3 linked regions of the Oryctolagus cuniculus genome follow. The protein of the gene in region 2 purifies or fractionates together with the protein of the main gene of each other region. This does not show direct contact. Links are inferred from orthologs where the notes say so. Each region holds a gene or a part of one and is shown on either strand. Other genes may lie near its edges.

What was found.
Region 1: the proteins of MED24 (region 2) and MED9 purify together in Homo sapiens (affinity purification with mass spectrometry; 5 studies listed by BioGRID and IntAct, with this or other methods). This does not show direct contact. The link is inferred for Oryctolagus cuniculus from reciprocal best matches to the Homo sapiens genes MED24 and MED9.
Region 3: the proteins of MED24 (region 2) and CDK8 purify together in Homo sapiens (affinity purification with mass spectrometry; 13 studies listed by BioGRID and IntAct, counting the BioPlex papers as one, with this or other methods). This does not show direct contact. The link is inferred for Oryctolagus cuniculus from reciprocal best matches to the Homo sapiens genes MED24 and CDK8.

The regions. Positions count from the first base shown.
Region 1 is NC_091448.1:66,355,512-66,361,846, forward strand, and holds the start of MED9 (mediator of RNA polymerase II transcription subunit 9), read left to right. Parts: upstream 1-2,955; 5' UTR 2,956-3,046; coding exon 3,047-3,273; intron 3,274-6,335.
Region 2 is NC_091448.1:22,394,562-22,400,102, forward strand, and holds part of MED24 (mediator of RNA polymerase II transcription subunit 24), read left to right. Parts: intron 1-77; coding exon 78-164; intron 165-1,312; coding exon 1,313-1,424; intron 1,425-2,348; coding exon 2,349-2,491; intron 2,492-3,716; coding exon 3,717-3,763; intron 3,764-3,976; exon of another isoform or gene 3,977-4,076; intron 4,077-4,153; coding exon 4,154-4,236; intron 4,237-5,240; coding exon 5,241-5,419; intron 5,420-5,532; coding exon 5,533-5,541. UniProt on the Homo sapiens protein: Component of the Mediator complex, a coactivator involved in the regulated transcription of nearly all RNA polymerase II-dependent genes.
Region 3 is NC_091440.1:96,685,300-96,690,840, reverse strand, and holds part of CDK8 (cyclin-dependent kinase 8), read right to left. Parts: intron 2,970-5,541; coding exon 2,826-2,969; intron 488-2,825; coding exon 418-487; intron 1-417.

The sequences.
Region 1 (6,335 bases), about 44 Mb from region 2:
CAATTGTTTGCGTTTTCCCTATTAGCTTCAAGTCCTCTTGCAACTTACGAAGGAAACAAAAGGAGCACACAGAGTCTCAATGCCTGTGCCACTCCCCCGACCCACGAAGGGAGCCCCCTCGCGTTCCTTCTCTGACGCTTCTACGCATGCGCCCAGCACCCTGGCCCGCCCACGTTTCAGACAAGTGCATAAGCAACTCTGTCCCCCCGGGGATGGGTTCGGGCTTGCTTTTCCCCCTCCGATCGGCTTCCAACGCTGCCAGCGCTGCCTGTGCTGATGCCGCGTCTGCACCAGCCAGGGCCGAGGCACCACTGCACTTGGAGTGTGGCTGGTTTCAGTGCAAATGTCCTGTGATCATAAAACACACGCTGGGGGCTGGTGTTGAGGCTTAGCCGGTAAAGCCGCCACTTGCGTGTGATGCCAGCATCCCATACTGCACCTGCTGTCTTACTGATTTTTCATAGCGCTTTTGAAGTCCGTTGTGTGTGTGTGTGTGTTTTAAATTTATTTCTCTGAAAGGCAGAGTTTACAGAGAGAGAGGGAGAGACAGAGAGGTCTTCCAAACTCTGGTTCACTCCCCAGTGGCCACAACAGCCGGAGCTGCGCTGATCTGAAGCCAGGAGCCAGGAGCTTCTTCCAGGTCTCCCACATGGAGACCTTTTTGCTGGCAGCATAAAACGCTACATGAAATGCCTCACATGTGTTTCAGCCCCCCCCCCCCCCCCCCCCCCCCCCCGTAGCAGAAACTCACAGTTCTGGGAGCCGGAAAGTCCAAGACCCGTGGTGGGGGCAGGGCGGGCACACCTGCTGGTGGCTTCTTGCTGTGTCCTAACACAGCAGAAGGGTGTAGAAAAGGGTGCCACTATGGCAAGAGAGAGCTGAACTGTTTGTAACAGACACTCCCTCCTTCCACGGGCCTTGATCACAAACCCTTTCCCAGGCTCAACCAGCTCTTCAAGGTCCCATCCCCCCCCCCCCCCCCCAACGTGTTCCATTGCTGCTCAGAGAGAGGCTGAGCCACCGTCCACACACACACCTGAAGGAAGCCAAGCTGGGACAGAAGTCAGGCTGGCCAGCTCCAAAGCCTGCCCTTGTAACCAGAAACCTGGCAGGACGGGACCCAGGAGAAACAGCACAAAGCTGCTCAAGGGGCCGGTGTTGTGGCATAGCGGGTGAAGCTGCCTCCTGCGGTGCCGGCATCTCATATGGGTTCCAGTCCCGGCTGCTCCATTTCCATCCAGCTCTCTGCTGTGGCCTGGGAAAGCAGTGGAGGATGCCCAAGTCCTTGGGCCCCTGCACCTGCATGGGAGACCAGGAAGAAGCTCCTGGCTCCTGGCTTTGGATCTGCTCAGCTCTGGGCTTTGTGGCCATTTGGGGAGTGAACCAGCAGGTGGAAGATTCTCTCTCTCTCTCTTTCTCTCTTGCTGGCTCTACCTCTTCCTCTAACTCTGTCTTTCAAATAAATAAAATAATCCTTTAAAAAAATCTGCTTACGTCATCAGTGCAGCTGAGGCTGGCCACGTCTCTGACAAAACAGCCGCCTTACATATTCATGAAGCAGCTGCCTTTGCTGACGTTTACCAGGATGAGTATTAAACAGATGCGTATTTTTGTGGCAATGTTGGGCTTCCTGAAAGCAGCCCAGGCAGGATTTTTCTGACATATGCTTGCAGCATTACAAAACTTTACTCTTTGTCACTAATTATATGAACTATTTATAGGGCAAATTGTCAATACCCAGTATTTGCTCATGCATCTAACATTTTCAATTTGTGGGTTTTTTTGTTTGTTTTTTAGCCATATCTATTTATACCTGATTTTTTTTTTCTTTTTAAAGGACGTTCTCATTATGATGCCAATGACAAATTCGGGGCTTGTGATCAAACACGCTGGGAGGGGAAAAAAAATGACGCACGTTGCCATGGGGATATTATTGATGACTATTAGATTGCTTCTCAAATTCTGAATAGAAAGCCACGTTAACATTTTGAATCATAAAGTTACAAAACTAGCAGAAGCCTGAGGAACCTGGCTGAGACCATAGGTTTGGCGTTAGGCAAACTGGGTGACCCTAGACCCACACCCATTGTTAAGTCTCAGTTACTTTGTCTTTAAAATGGGGATGCTTTGGAGTTGGCGTCCTAGCGCTGTGGGTTAGGCCAGAGCTTGGGACACCTGCCACCCACACTAGAGAGTTGTTTCAGGTCCCGGCTGCTCTGCGTCCCATCCAGCTCTCTGCGGGACACCTGCCCCCCACACTAGAGAATTGTTTCAGGTCCCGGCTGCTCTGCCCAGCTCCCTGCTAATGAGCCTGGGAGGCAGCAGATGATGGCCCAGGTGCTTGGGCCCCTGCCACCCACGTGGGAGTCCTGGATGGAGTACCTAGCTCCTGGCTTCAGCCTGGCCCAGCCACAGTTGTTGGAGGCATTGGGAGAGAGAAGTATCCGAGAAAAGATTTCCGCGTGTCTATCACTTTGCCTTTCAAATAAAAATAAATTTAAAAATGTTGAACAGTTGTTTTAAAAAAATAAAATAGCGGGTCGAAGCCATGGTGCTGTGGGTTAAGTCGCGGCCTGCAGCGCCGGCATCCCATATGGGCGCCAGTCTGAGACTCGGCTGCTCCACTTCCCACCCAGCTCTCTGCTAAAGGCCTGGGAAAAGCAGCAGCAGATGGCCCAAGTACTTGGGCCCCTGCACCCGCGTGAAAACCCTGAACGAAGCTCCTGGCTCCTGGGTTGGCCCTGGCCCAGCCCTGGCCGTTGAGGTCACTTGAGCTAAATCGCCTGTTTCTGACTAATTTACTTAACTAGACTCGCAACCAAATCCAGCCTACACCAGCCCGCCCACCGCATGTCGCCTAGCAACAGCCTCCTCCCCTCACGCCTGCGCTTTTACCCCGCCCCCTGCTCAGTGCGCATGCTCAGATCCGTGCGTCCGGCCCCGCCCCTGCGAGGCGCTCAGCAGTGACGTGTAGAGTCCGCGACGCTCCCGGCGAGCCGAGCCGGTGAAGTGGGGGAGTTGGCTCGCTGGACCGAGCCCCGGGGCCATGGCCTCGGCCGGGGTGGCCGCTGGGCGACAGGCCGAGGATGCGTTACCGCCACCGGCCGACCCGCCGCTGACCGAGACCAAGCCGTTGCCGCCGCCGCAGCTGCCGCCACCGGTGGCCGCGCCCCAGCCGCAGCAGTCGCCGGCGCCCCGGCCCCAGAGCCCCGCCAGCATGAAGGAGGAGGAGAACTACTCCTTCCTGCCGTTGGTTCACAACATCATCAAATGGTAAGGAAGGGCCCCGGAAGAGGGGGCCCCGCCGCCGCCGCTGGCGCTGGCGCTAGGAGGCTGCAAGGGTGCGTCCCCATTTCTCGGGCGGGCAGGCCGAGGCCAGGGGGTGGGCAGGGGCCTCTCCCGAGAGCTCGCGGCGCCTGTCCGGGCGCATGGGGGCGCCGGGGGGCGCCGTGCTCTATGCGGGGGACACTTGCTCCGAGCTGGCCGGCACAGGTGGCCGGGGGCCTCGGGAGCCTGGGCAGCGTCCCTGAGGCTCCGTAGGGTTAAGACGCGCTCTGGTTTTCTCCTCGTCTTCAGCACATCCCGCAGAGAAACATCGTCGGGACTGCATAGCGTTCTGCTAGGCGTTACGGGGTGCGCACGGTAAAAGGGGCCGACTGCGGGCCGGCCTTGTGGCGTAGCAGGTAAAGCCGTCGCCTGTAGCGCCAGCATCCCGAATGTCTCCAGTTCGAGTCCCGGCTGCTCCACTTCTGGTCCAGCTCTCTGCTGTGGCCTGGGAAAGCAGTGGATGATGGCCCAAGTCCTTGGGCCCCTGCACCCACGCGGGAGACCTGGAAGAAGCTCCTGGCTCCTGGCTTTGTTCGGGCTATTTAGGGAGTGAACCAGTAGATAGAAGATCTCTCTCTGTTACCCATAATTATGTTACCCATAATTCATACAGATTGAGCCTGCAGGGCTGAGATGGCCTGCAGAGACACAGAAATCGCCTCCACCGGGCCTGGACTAACTTGATCCCAGCCTACCTTGAAAGGATATGGCCGTGCTGTTGGCCAGCCCTCAGGGGAGCCCAAGCTTTCGGACAGACAGGCTCTGGAAAGGAAAAAACAAAAACAGACAAGAAACCAAAGTCCCCCCCGTTCCACGCTTGCCTGAGTGAGTACGCCGCTGGCGCTGACGTCACGGAGTGGTGCCTGGGAGAGTGAGGAGGTGCAGCCGAGGCATCGGCCGCTTGCTGCAGGCAGACACGTCCCAACGGGACATGCGTGGTGTTTGGCCTTTCGTGGAAGTAGGAGGAGTACGTTCTGAAACAGCAGTGAGAGGTATAGGACAGCCAATACGAGGATTGTTTTGAAAGTTCACGGAAAAGTGCGTATTATGGAAAGATGTGTATGGGTTTCATTTTATTTTTCAGGGATTGGTTTTACTTATTTGAAAGGCAAAGTGATAGGGAGGCAGAGAGAGAGAGAGATCTTCCATCTGTTGGTTCACTGCCCAAATGGCCACAACGGCCGGCCTGGGCCAGGCTGAAGCCAGGAGCCTGGAACCCCATCCGGGTCTCCCACGTGGGCGACAGGGGCCCCAAGCACTTGGGCCATCCCGGCTGCTTTCCCAGGCGCATTATCAGGGAACTGAATTGGAAATGGAGCAGCGGGGACTTGAGTAGGTCCTCATGTGGGATGCCAGCATCAACGGCTTGTGCCACAATGCTGGCCCCTGAACCAAAATTTTAGTTCCATTTTTCCAGTAACTTTTTTTTTTTTAATTCATTTGAAAGGCAGAATTACAGAGAGGCAGAGAGAGAGAGAGAGAGAGCTTCCACCCAATGGTTCACTCCCCAAATGGCTGCAACAGCCGGAGCTGTGCCGATCTGAAGCCAGAAGCCAGGAGCTTCTTCTGGGTCTCCCAAGCAGGCAGGGGGCCAAGGACCTGGGCCATCTTCTACTGCTTTCCCAGGCCATGGCAGAGAGCTGGATCGGAAGTGGAGCAGCCGGGACTAGAACCAGCACCCATATGAAATGTCGGTACTGCAGGCGGTGGCTTTACCCACTACGCCATAGCGCCGGCCCCGCAGTAACTTTCTGAAGTTCCCTGTATGAGAACTGGCAGTGCAGTCGGTTTCTTTCCGTCGGAGTCACCACGAACAAGGTTGTTTTCAGCCCCGTTTTAATCTCATGCCACCATTCGTCGTGTGTGTAGTCTGTTGTTGGCTGACTCACGACTCAGTGCTAGATGTAAACCCCCAGGCTTGCCACTCGAGCTCAACCATTTAAAACCAAAGCAAGCTAAACTTGACACCACCACCATTGCGGGGGCGTTCAGGTTGAAGGTTGATGGGCTTGCCGATGCTGTGCTGAGATGGAGTCGCTGCTGACAACGTGGACTTTTTTTTTCTTTTAAAGATGTATTTATTTGGAAAGAGTTACAGGGTCCGATGTTACCTGCGGTGCTGCCTTCCCATATAGGCACCGGGTCGAGTCCTGGCTGCTCCACTTCGAATCCAGCTCCCTGCTAATGGCCTGGGAAAGGCAGCAGAAGATGGCTCAAGTGTTTGGACTCTGCTACCCGTGTGGGAGACCCAGAAGAAGCTCCTGGCTTTCACCTGCCCCAGCCCTAGCTGTTATGGCTGTTTGGGGACTGAACCAGCGGGTGCAAGATCTCTCGCTCTGTCTCTCCTCTCTAAGTTTGACTTTAATTAATGAATAAATCTTAAAAAATTTTTTTAAAAAAGGAGTTACAGTGAGAAGAAGAGACAGAGAGATCTTCCATGTGCAGGTTCAGTCCCCAGATGGCCAAAACAACGGGCCTGGGCCTGGCAGGATCTAGGAGCTTCATCCTGTTCTCCCACGTTGGTGGCAGGGACCCAAGGACTTGGACCATCTTTTCGCTTCATTTCCTAAGCCATTAGAAGGAGCTGGACTGGAATTGGAGCAGCTGGGACACAAACTGGCACCCATCACAGGCAGTGGCTTCACCCGCGGCACCCCAACGCCGACCCCCAGTGTGAGCATCTTGACTGGTAATGGCCCAGCTCTCTGGAGAGCGGGCAGACGAGAGAGACTTGCGGGCTGTGGACGGCCTGGACGCCTTTGTTCTCCCATTAGACCCGCCTTCCTTTGGCTTCCCTACGTTCGTGCCGCCCTGTGATCTCAAGTGACACTTCGGGGCTACCCAGTGCAGTCCCGGAGGCGCGTAGAATTATAAAGGATTAACCCAGAATACGCTGGTTTTGGGAAAAATGGAAACAGAACATTCACAGTGACAAGGACAGCTGTTGGGCTCCCCAGCGGTTTATCCGTGGACCCCAGCAGAGCAGCTGTGCTGGGATGGCCCCAGCA
Region 2 (5,541 bases):
TGTCCTCATCCTCAAAACCCTTCCCTGTAAACTCCCAGCTGTGCGCGCCGTTGTCTCATCATCATTTTCCCTCACAGCTGTGATTGTACAAACTTCCTGCTCACAGAATGTAGCAAGCAGGGGCTTCTGTCTGAAGCCAGTGTCAACAGCCTTACAGCTAAGCGGTAAGTGTGAGCTCATGTGGGCTACCCCAAGAGCCCCGGGCTTTTCTGTCTCCTGTTGACTGGGCTGCTGCTGCCTCTCCCACTCCTGTCTAAAGTTTGGGTTGCAAATGACTGGGACCATGCCACGAGGGGACAGGGGACAGGAAGGGACAGACCAAACTCAGTTCTTTAACATACAGTTTGGTTCTCTCAGTTGCTACTTTTTTTTTTTAACATTTATTTATTTATTTGAAAGGCAGAGTCACAGAGGCAGAGACAGAAAGAAGTCTTCCACCCGCTGGTTCATTCCCCAGATGGCTGCAATGGCTAGAGCTGGGCCGATTCAGAGCCAGGAGCCAGGAATTCCTTCTGGATTTCCCATGCGGGTACAGGGGCCCAAGGACTTGGGCCATCTTCTACTGCTTTCCCAGGCCATAGCAGAGAGCTGGATTGGAAGTGGAGCAGCTAGGACTCGAACCAGTGCTATATGGGATGCTGGCACTGCAGGTGGCAGCTTTACCCTCTACACCACAGCGCCAGCCAGCCCTAGTTGCTACTTTTTAACCCATACCTTCCAGTGTGATAGAATCAGAATCCCAGATCTTCCGTTAACCTTCAGTAAATTTTCAAAAAAGACTCAATGGCTAATGACTAATTGAGGCAGTCGCAGTACTGAATTGCTTTCTCAAGCTTCACCCAACCCCAGAGGCTGTTAAAGGTTCCCAGGGGTGGGGCCGGCGCTGTGGCGTAGTGGGTGGAGCAGCTGCCTGCGGTGCCGGCGTCCCATATGGGCGCTGGTTTAAGTCTCGGCTGCTTCATTTCTGATCCAGCTCTCTGCTGAGGCCTGGGAGGGCAGTGGAAGATGGCTCAGGTCTTCGGGCCCCTGCACCCGAGTGGGAGACCTGGAGGAGGCTCCTGGCTTCAGATCAGCGCACCTCTGGCCGTTGTGGCCAACTGGGGAGTGAACCAGTGGATGGAAGACCTCTCTCTCTCTCTGCCTCTCCTTCTCTCTCTCTATAATTCTTTCAAGTAAATATATAAAATCTTTAAAAAAAAAGAAAAAGAAAAAAGGTTCCCAGGGTTGCTTCTGCAGTTGGACTAGGGAGTGTCATGAAATCATGAAATCACGTTCCTCTTCCCTTTTCTCGGCCAACTGGTTATGACCACAGCACTGAAGACCGGGAGCAGGCACCTCAGCTGAAGTCAGGAGAAAATGCCAACATCCAGCCCAACCCCGGGCTGATCCTGCGGGCAGAGCCCACTGTCACAAACATCCTCAAGGTCAGTGTGCCCGTCTCTTGCCACCAGAGTCTTGTCTTTCCCTGTCCAGTCCCTGTACTTCCAAATAAGTAACCAGGGCTGCAGGGCTCTCTCTTGTCTGGTTTTCTTTTTCTTTTTCTTTTCTTTTCTTTTCTTTTCTTTTCTTTTCTTTTCTTTTCTTTTCTTTTCTTTTCTTTTCTCTTCTCTTCTCTTCTCTTCTCTTCTCTTCTCTTCTCTTCTCTTTTCTTCTTCTTCTTCTTCTTCTTCTTTTTTTTTTTTTTTAAGATTTTATTTGTTTCTTTGAAGGGTAGAGTTACAGACAGAGAGAGGGAGAGACAGAAAGAAAGGTCTTCCATCCTCTGGTTCACTCCCCAAATGGCCGCAACAGCTAGAGCTAGGCCAATCCAAAGCTAGGAACCAGGAGCTTTCTCCAGGTCTCCCACTTCTATGGCTTTCCCAGGCCATAGCAGAGAGCTCAATCGGAAGAGGAACAGCTGGGGCTAGAACTGAACCGGCGCCCATGTGAGATGTTGGCACTGGAGGCAGAGGCTTAGCCTACCGTGCCACAGCACTGGCCCCTCTTGTCCGGTTTTCTCACATAGTTTGCTCTGGAAGTAGAGAGAGGGGGAAAGCGGGCGCAGCTCCCCCTGAAAGCTGAGGTTTTATTGGGTTTTGCTTGCGGGCCGGGTGCTGTGGTTGGGGCTTTCACTGTTGCCACCTTGTGTGAAGACAGTAGACAAGCTCCCACCTTCGTGCCAGTGTGACTGAGAGGGATGGATGGATTTTAGGAGTGATTTTCCAGATGGGGGTCAGAAAGATGGAGTCGAAATTGTAGATTGGGGTGTACCGGTCAGTGGAGACATGCAGCGAGAGAAAAGGTGGCTGCACTGTGTCTGGGGGGTTCCACAGTGTTCTTTGGGACTTGATTTCCTGTCCTGTCCCCAGACGATGGATGCAGACCACTCCAAGTCTCCAGAGGGGCTGCTGGGAGTCCTGGGCCACATGCTGTCTGGGAAGAGTCTGGACCTGCTGCTGGCTGCTGCTGCTGCCACTGGAAAGCTTAAATCCTTCGCCCGGAAATTTATCAAGTGAGGGGAACTGAGCTCCTGATTGGTGGGGAGGCCATGTGTGAGGGAGGAGTTAGCAGAGTGGCAGTGAGGCACCTTGGACAGGTCTCCCAGGTCAGAGATGCACTGGCCAGGGTGGAACATCCCAGCTGGAGACCTTGCTGGAGCGATCTTGACCCAGAATGCCTTTTTCTCTTGAGCGGAGGGTTAGGTGGAGGTGGTGATAAGGTGATGAGGCAGTGAACAGGAGGCATGGTGGGTTCTGTGAGTGTCCAGCCGCTAATGAGAGCCTCTCAGTTCTCCTGCTTGTGTTGGTTGACTTGGAATTTGACAGAGATCATTGTCACATTCAGGGAGCCAATCTCTAGGCCTTGGAACTCTTTTAATGATAGGTAGGAGAAAAAATAATAGAAATAATTATTTTTTCTATAGAAGTGATGTTTATTTACAATTTTTTTAAAGATTTATTCATTTATTTGAAAGAGTTCCACAGAGAGAGAAGGAGAGGCAAAGAGAAAGGTTTTTTGTCTGCTGGTTCACTCCTCAGATGGCTGCAACGGCTGGAGCTGAGCCGATCCGAAGCCAGGAGCCAGGAGCCAGGAGCCTCCTCTGGGTCTCCCACGCGGGTGCAGGTGCCCAAAAACTTGGGCCATCTTCTACTGCTTTCCCAGGCCACAGCAGAGAGCTGGATCAGAAGTGGAGCAGCTGGGCCTTGAACCGGCGCCCATATGGGATGCCAGAGCCTCAGGCCAGGGCCTTAACCCGCTGTGCCAAAGCGCCGACCCCTGTTTGCAAATTTTTAAGAAGTTTTTTTTTTTTTTTTTTTTTGAAAGGCAGAGTGAGAGAGAAGGTGAGAGATAAAGAAAGATCTTCCATTCACTGGCTCACTCTGCAGATGTCCACAGCAACTGGGACTGGGCCAGACTGAAGACAGGAGCTAGGAATTCCATCCGGGTCTCCCATGGGGGACCCAGGTACTTAGGGCGTCATCTGCTGCCCCCCAGGCTTCGTGTTAGCAGGAAGCTGGATCAGAAGCAGAGATGGGCCTGGATCCCAGACACTCCAGTGTGGGGTGTGGGCGTTCCAAGCTGAGGCTTCACCGCTGCCTCGCAGTGCCTGCCCTGTTTTGGGCTTAGTCGTGATTCCGATTCTAGTGACCGCCTCTCTGAGCGTGTGCAGCCCCTTGTATCTGATGGTTGCTCAGCTCTTCCCTGGTTGATGCCAGCTGTCTCCATTCCTTCCGCAGTTTGAACGAGTTGAATGAGTTCACAACGCATGGCAATGGAGAAAGCAGTAAGTCAGCGGCAGATCCCATTGGCACTGGATCTGCCAGTGGAGGGAGAAGGCAGGGGAGGGAGGGGCACCTCGGCTCACCCTGGGAAGGCTGTTTCCTCCCAAGCCATGACTGACTTAAAGAGGGCGGTGTTGGGAAAAATTTCTAAAACTGTCCTGTTGTTGCCTTCCTGCCCATCTTTATGGTTCAGCTGGGCATTAGGGGGAAGTCTTTGACTCCAAGGAAGGAATGATGTCCCTTGAGACTCAAGAAAAGGATTCTGAGCCTTGGCTTTGAAGGAGCCACTCAATCCCTGACCTTCCTTGAGGCAAATCCCGATCTTGCGACTCAGCCAGGGGCTTTGGGCCCTTGCCGTAGGCTGAGCTGTCAGCCTTTTTATCCTCTCACAGCCAAAGCAGCCTCAGTGCGTGCCTTGCTGTTCGACATCTCCTTCCTCATGCTGTGCCACGTGGCCCAGACCTATGGTTCGGAGGTGAGTGGGAAAAAGGAGAGGGGAACGACCCATAACCCTGCCATCCCCCACCTCAGTCAGTCTCCCAGGCCAGTTCTGCTGGCCTCAGAAAGCAGGTGCCCACCTTGGGCAAAGCCAGTGGACTTCTCAGTCACATCCACATCCTACAAGGACCGCTAGGTGGCAGCACAGTCCCCTGTCTGCCTCCCTCAGACCAGTTGGTCTGTAGTTCTTCAGGGTTGGAAGGGAACTGCAGGTTTCTAAATTTATTTATTTATTTCTTAAAAATATTTATTTATTTACTTGAAAGTCAGAGTTACACAGAGAGAGAAGGTGAGGCAGAGAGAGAGAGAGAGGTCTTGCATCCGCCGGTTCACTCCCCAATTGGCTGCATCGGCCGGAGCTGTGCCGATCCGAAGCCAGGAGCCTCCCCTGGGTCTCCCACATGGGCTCAGGGGCCCAAGGATTTGGGCCATCTTTCACCGCCCTCCCAGGCCATAACAGAGAGCTGGATCGGAAGTGGAGCAGCTGGGTCTCAAACCAGCACCCATATGGGATGCTGACACTGTAGGCGGCAGCTTTACCTGCTATGCCACAGCGGGGGCCCCTAAATTTATTTATTTATTTTTTAAGATTTATTTATTTATTTGAAAGGCAGAGTTACAGAGAGGTAGAGAGAGAGAGGTCTTCCCTCCGCTGGTTCACTCCCCAATTGGCTGCAACAGCTTGAGCCGCACGGATTGAAACCAGGAGCCAGGAGCTTCCTCCAGGTCTTCCTATGCAGGTGCAGGGGCCCAAGGACCTGGGCCATCTTCCGCTGCTTTCCCATGGCAGAGAGCTGGATCAGAAGTGGAGCAGCCGGGACTAGAACCGGCGCCCATATGGGATGCCGGCACTGCAGGCGGCAGCTTCACCACAGTGCCGGCCCCGGGAACTGCAGTTTGACAGGCAGTTGGGGTGTAGTCCTGGCCCAGCTCGGGCAGGCACTGCACCCTCCACACTCTGCTCCTCTCTGCCCCCTCCAGGTGATTCTGTCCGAGTCAAGCCCAGGAGCAGAGGTGCCATTCTTTGAGACTTGGATGCAGACGTGCATGCCCGAGGAGGGCAAGATCCTGAACCCTGACCACCCCTGCTTCCGACCCGATTCCACCAAAGTGGAGTCGCTGGTGGCCCTGCTCAACAATTCCTCAGAGATGAAGCTGGTGTTAGTGCCCGGGCGCCACTGCACGGAGGGAGGAGGGGCAGGGCCAAGCCCTTCTCCCGCAAGCCCATCTGTGCTCCCCACGGTGACTTTTCCCTCCTCCCCACCCTCTGTAGGCAGATGAA
Region 3 (5,541 bases), on a different chromosome or scaffold from region 2:
AACCAAGCTGTCCCAACCATTGGCCTTGCTTTGTAAATAACTGAAATAATAATTCTTCTGTATTAAAACTTGCTTAAAATGACTATACAACCTAGGTGAGTAACTGCTAAGGTTTATTTTAGTTCCTTACTTCTTTAGCTGTGATATTTTTCACTAATATCTAGCTTCCAGAAAGTAGTAAATATCGGAAAGAAAAGAACTGACTTCTCCCTCTGTATCTAAATTGGCTCTATTAGTCATTTTTTCATATAATTTTTAATCATCTTATGAAGACTGCTATGAAAAATATTTACTAGAGTAAATAAATTAAGTTACTTATTGAAGTAATGTTATGTTGAGTATGTTGAGTGTTCTATCTTAAACTGAGTATTCTGGAGAAGCAAAAACCAACAAATGTCTATTTTCTTTCCAACTTACGTATTTCTTCTGAAATCTTTCATTAATGTTGAATGTTCGGGCATCTTTTTTATATCTTCCCAATCTTTATCTGTGAAACACATTGATAAATTTTTATGTTGCCTAGGTTCCTATTCTTTAGAATTTCAATATAGATTACCTCCATTTTCACTATATTTCCAGTTCTTTTAGCCTCTCTGGAAGCTCAGAGTTCAAATAAATGTTCAGCTACAATAAACATCTTGAACTGTAAATACAATTCCTCATCCGCTCAAATAGCTTTTATATCTGTTCATCTTTTAAATTTTTAAATTGTTTGCTTTCCATATGATTTATTGTTAAGTTGCCTCAATTACTATAACTAGGAAGGAATATTATAAGTATTTCTATTTATTATTAAAAAGTTCTATTTCTATTAGTATAATAATTTATTTTTTCCTTTTCCACCACACTTCTTGGCAAATCAGCAATTTCCTTATTTACATCAGCAATCAATATAGCCAGTAATAACTGTTTGCAGTAGAACTGGGTGTAGGATGGAAATAGTAATATTAATAATCGGCTGGTATCTTGGTTTTTTTTATTAACATTACCCGACACTAAATAAAAACTCCTAGCTACTAAATAATTTTTGGGGTGTTAAGTAAAACAAAAGTTGTTAAATAAATTTTAAGAACAAAATGTTTCAGCCAGGTTTGCTGGCCTTAAGAGTTGCTCCAACAACTCATGTCAGATCACCTGCTTTCTCCATCAATACCAAAGACTTTTAATGAAAGCCCACTAGGCAAGCAGCACTGTGACAAGCACCTTTCACTTTTAATTGGCCTTTCATGGTTTGCTTTTCTTTGAAGTCACTGGTAAAAATATTTGCTAACTGTCCTCCATAGACATCACATAATGTAAACTAAATGTCTACTTAAATTCCTAAATGGAATTTCCTCCTTACTTTTTCCTTGCCCCGATTTCTCTATTTTGTCAATTCCTCAAAGTAGAAATCTTGAGATTATCCTTCCCAGTGACACAAAGCTGTGTCCTCCATTCTCCTTCCGTGCTCTTTCTGCCTGTAGTATTGCTACAGCAAGAGGCCTGTTTCCCTGACTGCAGTCACCTCTCTGATTTTTACACACCACTGCCATACTGATCTTTCTAAAATATAAATCACATTCCTTGTACTCAAAAACTCATTGTAGACTCTCAAATTTCAGCTTATCAAGTCTAAACTGGGCCACCTTCTTCAAGGACCCTTACATAAACAGCCCACCCTAACTGTCGAGCCACACATTAAGGATCCTCTCCACTATGGGCCATCACCACTCCCACCCTCTCCCCTAAGCTACATTCCTGTGGGCCTCAGAAATAGTGGACAAATTCAGAAGCAGGAAGTAAAGGCCACTCTTCTCTATCTGCTCAGAACATAGCTATTCTTTAAACATTCTACTTATAGCAGTACAATGTAAACCACACCAGGGCAAGAATCATGTCTGTTATATCAATGTTTTACTTAAGACAGTGTTGACACATGGCAGTTACTCATAAATATTTAGTGAATAAAAGAAATTCCATCACGACAAAGTCATCTTTCCAAAACTGTTGACAAATTGTGGAGAGAGGTAACCCTCAGATATTTTGGAGAAACCCTCAGGTATTTCTGTATTTGTCTTGGGTTACAGTGACTTGAGAAATATTTCTAATGAGAAACAATTTCTATTAAGTACTAAATGATTCAAAATTATTGGTGTCTTTTAAACAATTTGCCATTTTACTGAACCTCTGGGGAGTTTTTGGTGAATGAAGAATCACCATTCTGTGGTATACCTAGAGCCTGGGCTGTAGCTGGAGAGATGTAATGCCAAGAACTGGACACCTGAGGACTGTTTCCCTGCTGTGAAACTCAGGGCTAGCAGCTGGTGGAGTGCAATGCTTAGCCCACATTCTGACTGTTCCAACACAACACTTTTAGTGATGAGGGTCAGAGAGCAAAAATGTCCAATATACTGTTCATAGTGCCCTAAATAATGTTCAAAATTTGTATTCAAATGTCAAGAACTAGCAGTATTAAATGTGCTGCAATAAAAAAAAAATTCTACTACTGAATTTGATTTATAGTTTCTACTGGTAAGAACCAAAAACACCCTTCTAATATAGATATTGCAAATATTGTATCATATTAAATATCAAACAACAAAACAAAAGCAAAACAAAACAAAAAATACTCAAATTCAGGAAATCCACAAATATTTTGCATGTTAATACTCTTGTGAATTCTACAAATTTTGCTATTTCTGTCAATCTTTGATAAATACAAGTAATAAAAACAAAGCATCAAGTACAAATAGCTTTCATCAACTAAAAATATACATCTTTCCAATGAAGATATCTAAGTTCAAACAACAGTGATTTAAAAACAAAAACAAAAACATAATGTGTACCTGCAGGAAATCCCATTACATTGAATATTCTGTCCAGCTGGTCATGGTGATAAGGATTACTAGTTTTGATGTCCTCTTGTCGACAGTGAAATATTGGTTCTGACGTTAGTAGTTCTGCAAATATACACCCTATAGCCCAAATATCTTTAAAATAAAAAGAAAAAAAAAAAGAAAAGAAAAAAAAGGAAAGGAAAAAAGAAAAAGAAAGGAGGAAAATAAAGTGGTTCTTTCCAAAAGAAAATGCATTTTTATTTTGGTGGGAGTCTTTTTCTTTTCTTCCCTAATAGTCATATTAGTTCCTAAGCAATTATAATTACTAAATATCAGGGAACATTGTTTGTAAATAGCCCCCACACTCCCATTCCCAATTCTTCATTCCCTATTATACCTCCACCCCACCCAGTGTTTCCATTATAAAACTAATAAAACTGATTAGCTGGATTTTGATGAGTTTTAAATGCCCCAAACATTACCTTATCTACAAAATAAATACAAAGCTGCACACAAAGCATGGGAACCACAAACAAACAAAACTAAACAAAAACTAAACAGAAAATCCAAACAGCCTTTCAAATTGTGCCCTTGCCAAAAATAAGCACAATTTTTTGTGATAAAATACTTGTCTTTATCTTGTTTATTTAGTTACTAATTTGTAAAGTCTAATAATTACCCTCCTGTTAGCACTCTTAGCAAGGTGCAATTCCAACAAGAAAAAGACAATGCCTGACCTAAAATATTCTAATGAAATACATTTCCCTGTGAACAGTTTATCTTTCAAAGTATTTTTTATGCCACAGCAGTGTCAGATTTTTTAAGTATTTACAAAGAAACATAAGCAAATGGGGAGCAAAATACTACTTTAAGTATGAGACTAAAAATTCATAGGAATTATTTACATAGGCCAAATGTATTTCTTTGTATACAAAAAAGGCAAATTTCTTTCATTCACAAGATACAGGTTTACTATCATTCACATTAAATTTGAAATCAACATAACTATTAAATTGGTATACTGACAAAATCAATATACCAATTTAGAATTTAAAGTTGAAAATATTCCACTTCTACTCTTAGCAAAATCCTAAACTGAATATGTTAACTTCTCTACGCTAATAAGTCCAATGTGCAAACAGTCATCCTATTCAGAAGTGGTTTTGGAATGATCTACTCAATACCGATCATCAGTATAAATAAGCATTGGGACAAATTAAAATTTTTTCCATGAAATTTTTGAAGGCCCCTCATATATATGGATTTCAAAATTTTTGCCATCAAAATAGCTTGTCTTTGAATGCTATTTTCCAAACTTTTTCAATCCCCTTTATAGGCCAAGCTCTTGTTTTTAGTAAAAGAAAGTAAATGGAGGGGAGAAGCAGTGCTGGGATGTAGTGGGTTTAGCAAAGCAAGCATCCCATATACAAGTGTCAGTTCTAGTCCCAGCTGCTCTGATTCCAATCCAGCTTCCTGCTAATACACATAGGAGGGCAGCAGAAGATGGCCCAAGTACTTGGGCTCCTGCCACCATGTGGGAGACTAGGATGGAGTTCCTGGCTCCTGGCTTTAGCCTGGCCCACACATGGTCATTTGGGGGAGTGAACCAGCTGATGGAAGATCCATTTCTCTCTCTCAAATAAATAAATGGGAAAATTAGTCCCCCCACCCCACCCCCGCCCAGGCAGAGTGGACAGTGAGAGAGAGAGACAGAGAGAAAGGTCTTCCTTTTCCATTGGTTCACCCCTCAATGGCTGCCACGGCCGGCGCTGATCCAAAGCCAGGAGCCAGGTGCTTCTCCTGCTCTTCCATGTGGGTGCAGGGCCCAAGGACTTGGGCCATCCTCCACTGCACTCCCGGGGCACAGCAGAGAGCTGGACTGGAAGAGGAGCAACCGGGACAGAATCCGGTGCTCCGACAGGGACTAGAACCAAGTGCCGGCGCCACAGGCGGAGGATTAGCCTAGTGAGCCATGGTACCAGCCAATTTTTAAATTATTATTCTTATATGAGTAACCCATATAAATTTGATCTTTGATAATCACAGTGGCCAGGTAGACAAGCTAAGCAGGATCACCAAAGGGATGACGGATCATTTTGTATGTTTAAAGCTCTACTCATCCTATATCCTAAAGACATTATAAGCATTTATCAGGTTAGCTATCAAAAATTCCAATGACAAAAATAAAATATGAAGGAAGATGAGAGGTAAACAGTTTAGCTATCATTAATACTATCCTGTTTTTCTAATAAAAAGTCAGGTAAGTAGGAAAACAGTTTACTGAATCTTGCTTGATCTCACAGTAGCAACCTCTTTCTTAGTATTTCCTATTTTCTCTCACCTCTATCAGGTTTACCACCCTTTCTTTCTTCAAAATCCTGACCCAGACATTAATCATGAACTTTGAGTCAGCTAATCAGTATGTTACTTCAAATTTTTCATTCTTTGTAAATAAGTCTCCCTTTCCTAATTTGCCCCCCACCCTGAGTCTGTGCCAGATTCACAGAAGAGTCTCTCTTCTGCTCACTTACCTGCCTAACTCCTGACAAAAAGACCTTCCAGATTAAAAACAAATAAATATCTATTTCTCAAAATCTGTGCTGCTTATGTGTAGCCACTGAGCTAAGCAGACAAAGGAGGTAGGCACTGGCATGCTTCATGTACTCAAACTGGGGGAGGGGAGGGTCAAAATTATTGTAAACAACAGGTGTACTAACACCAAGTT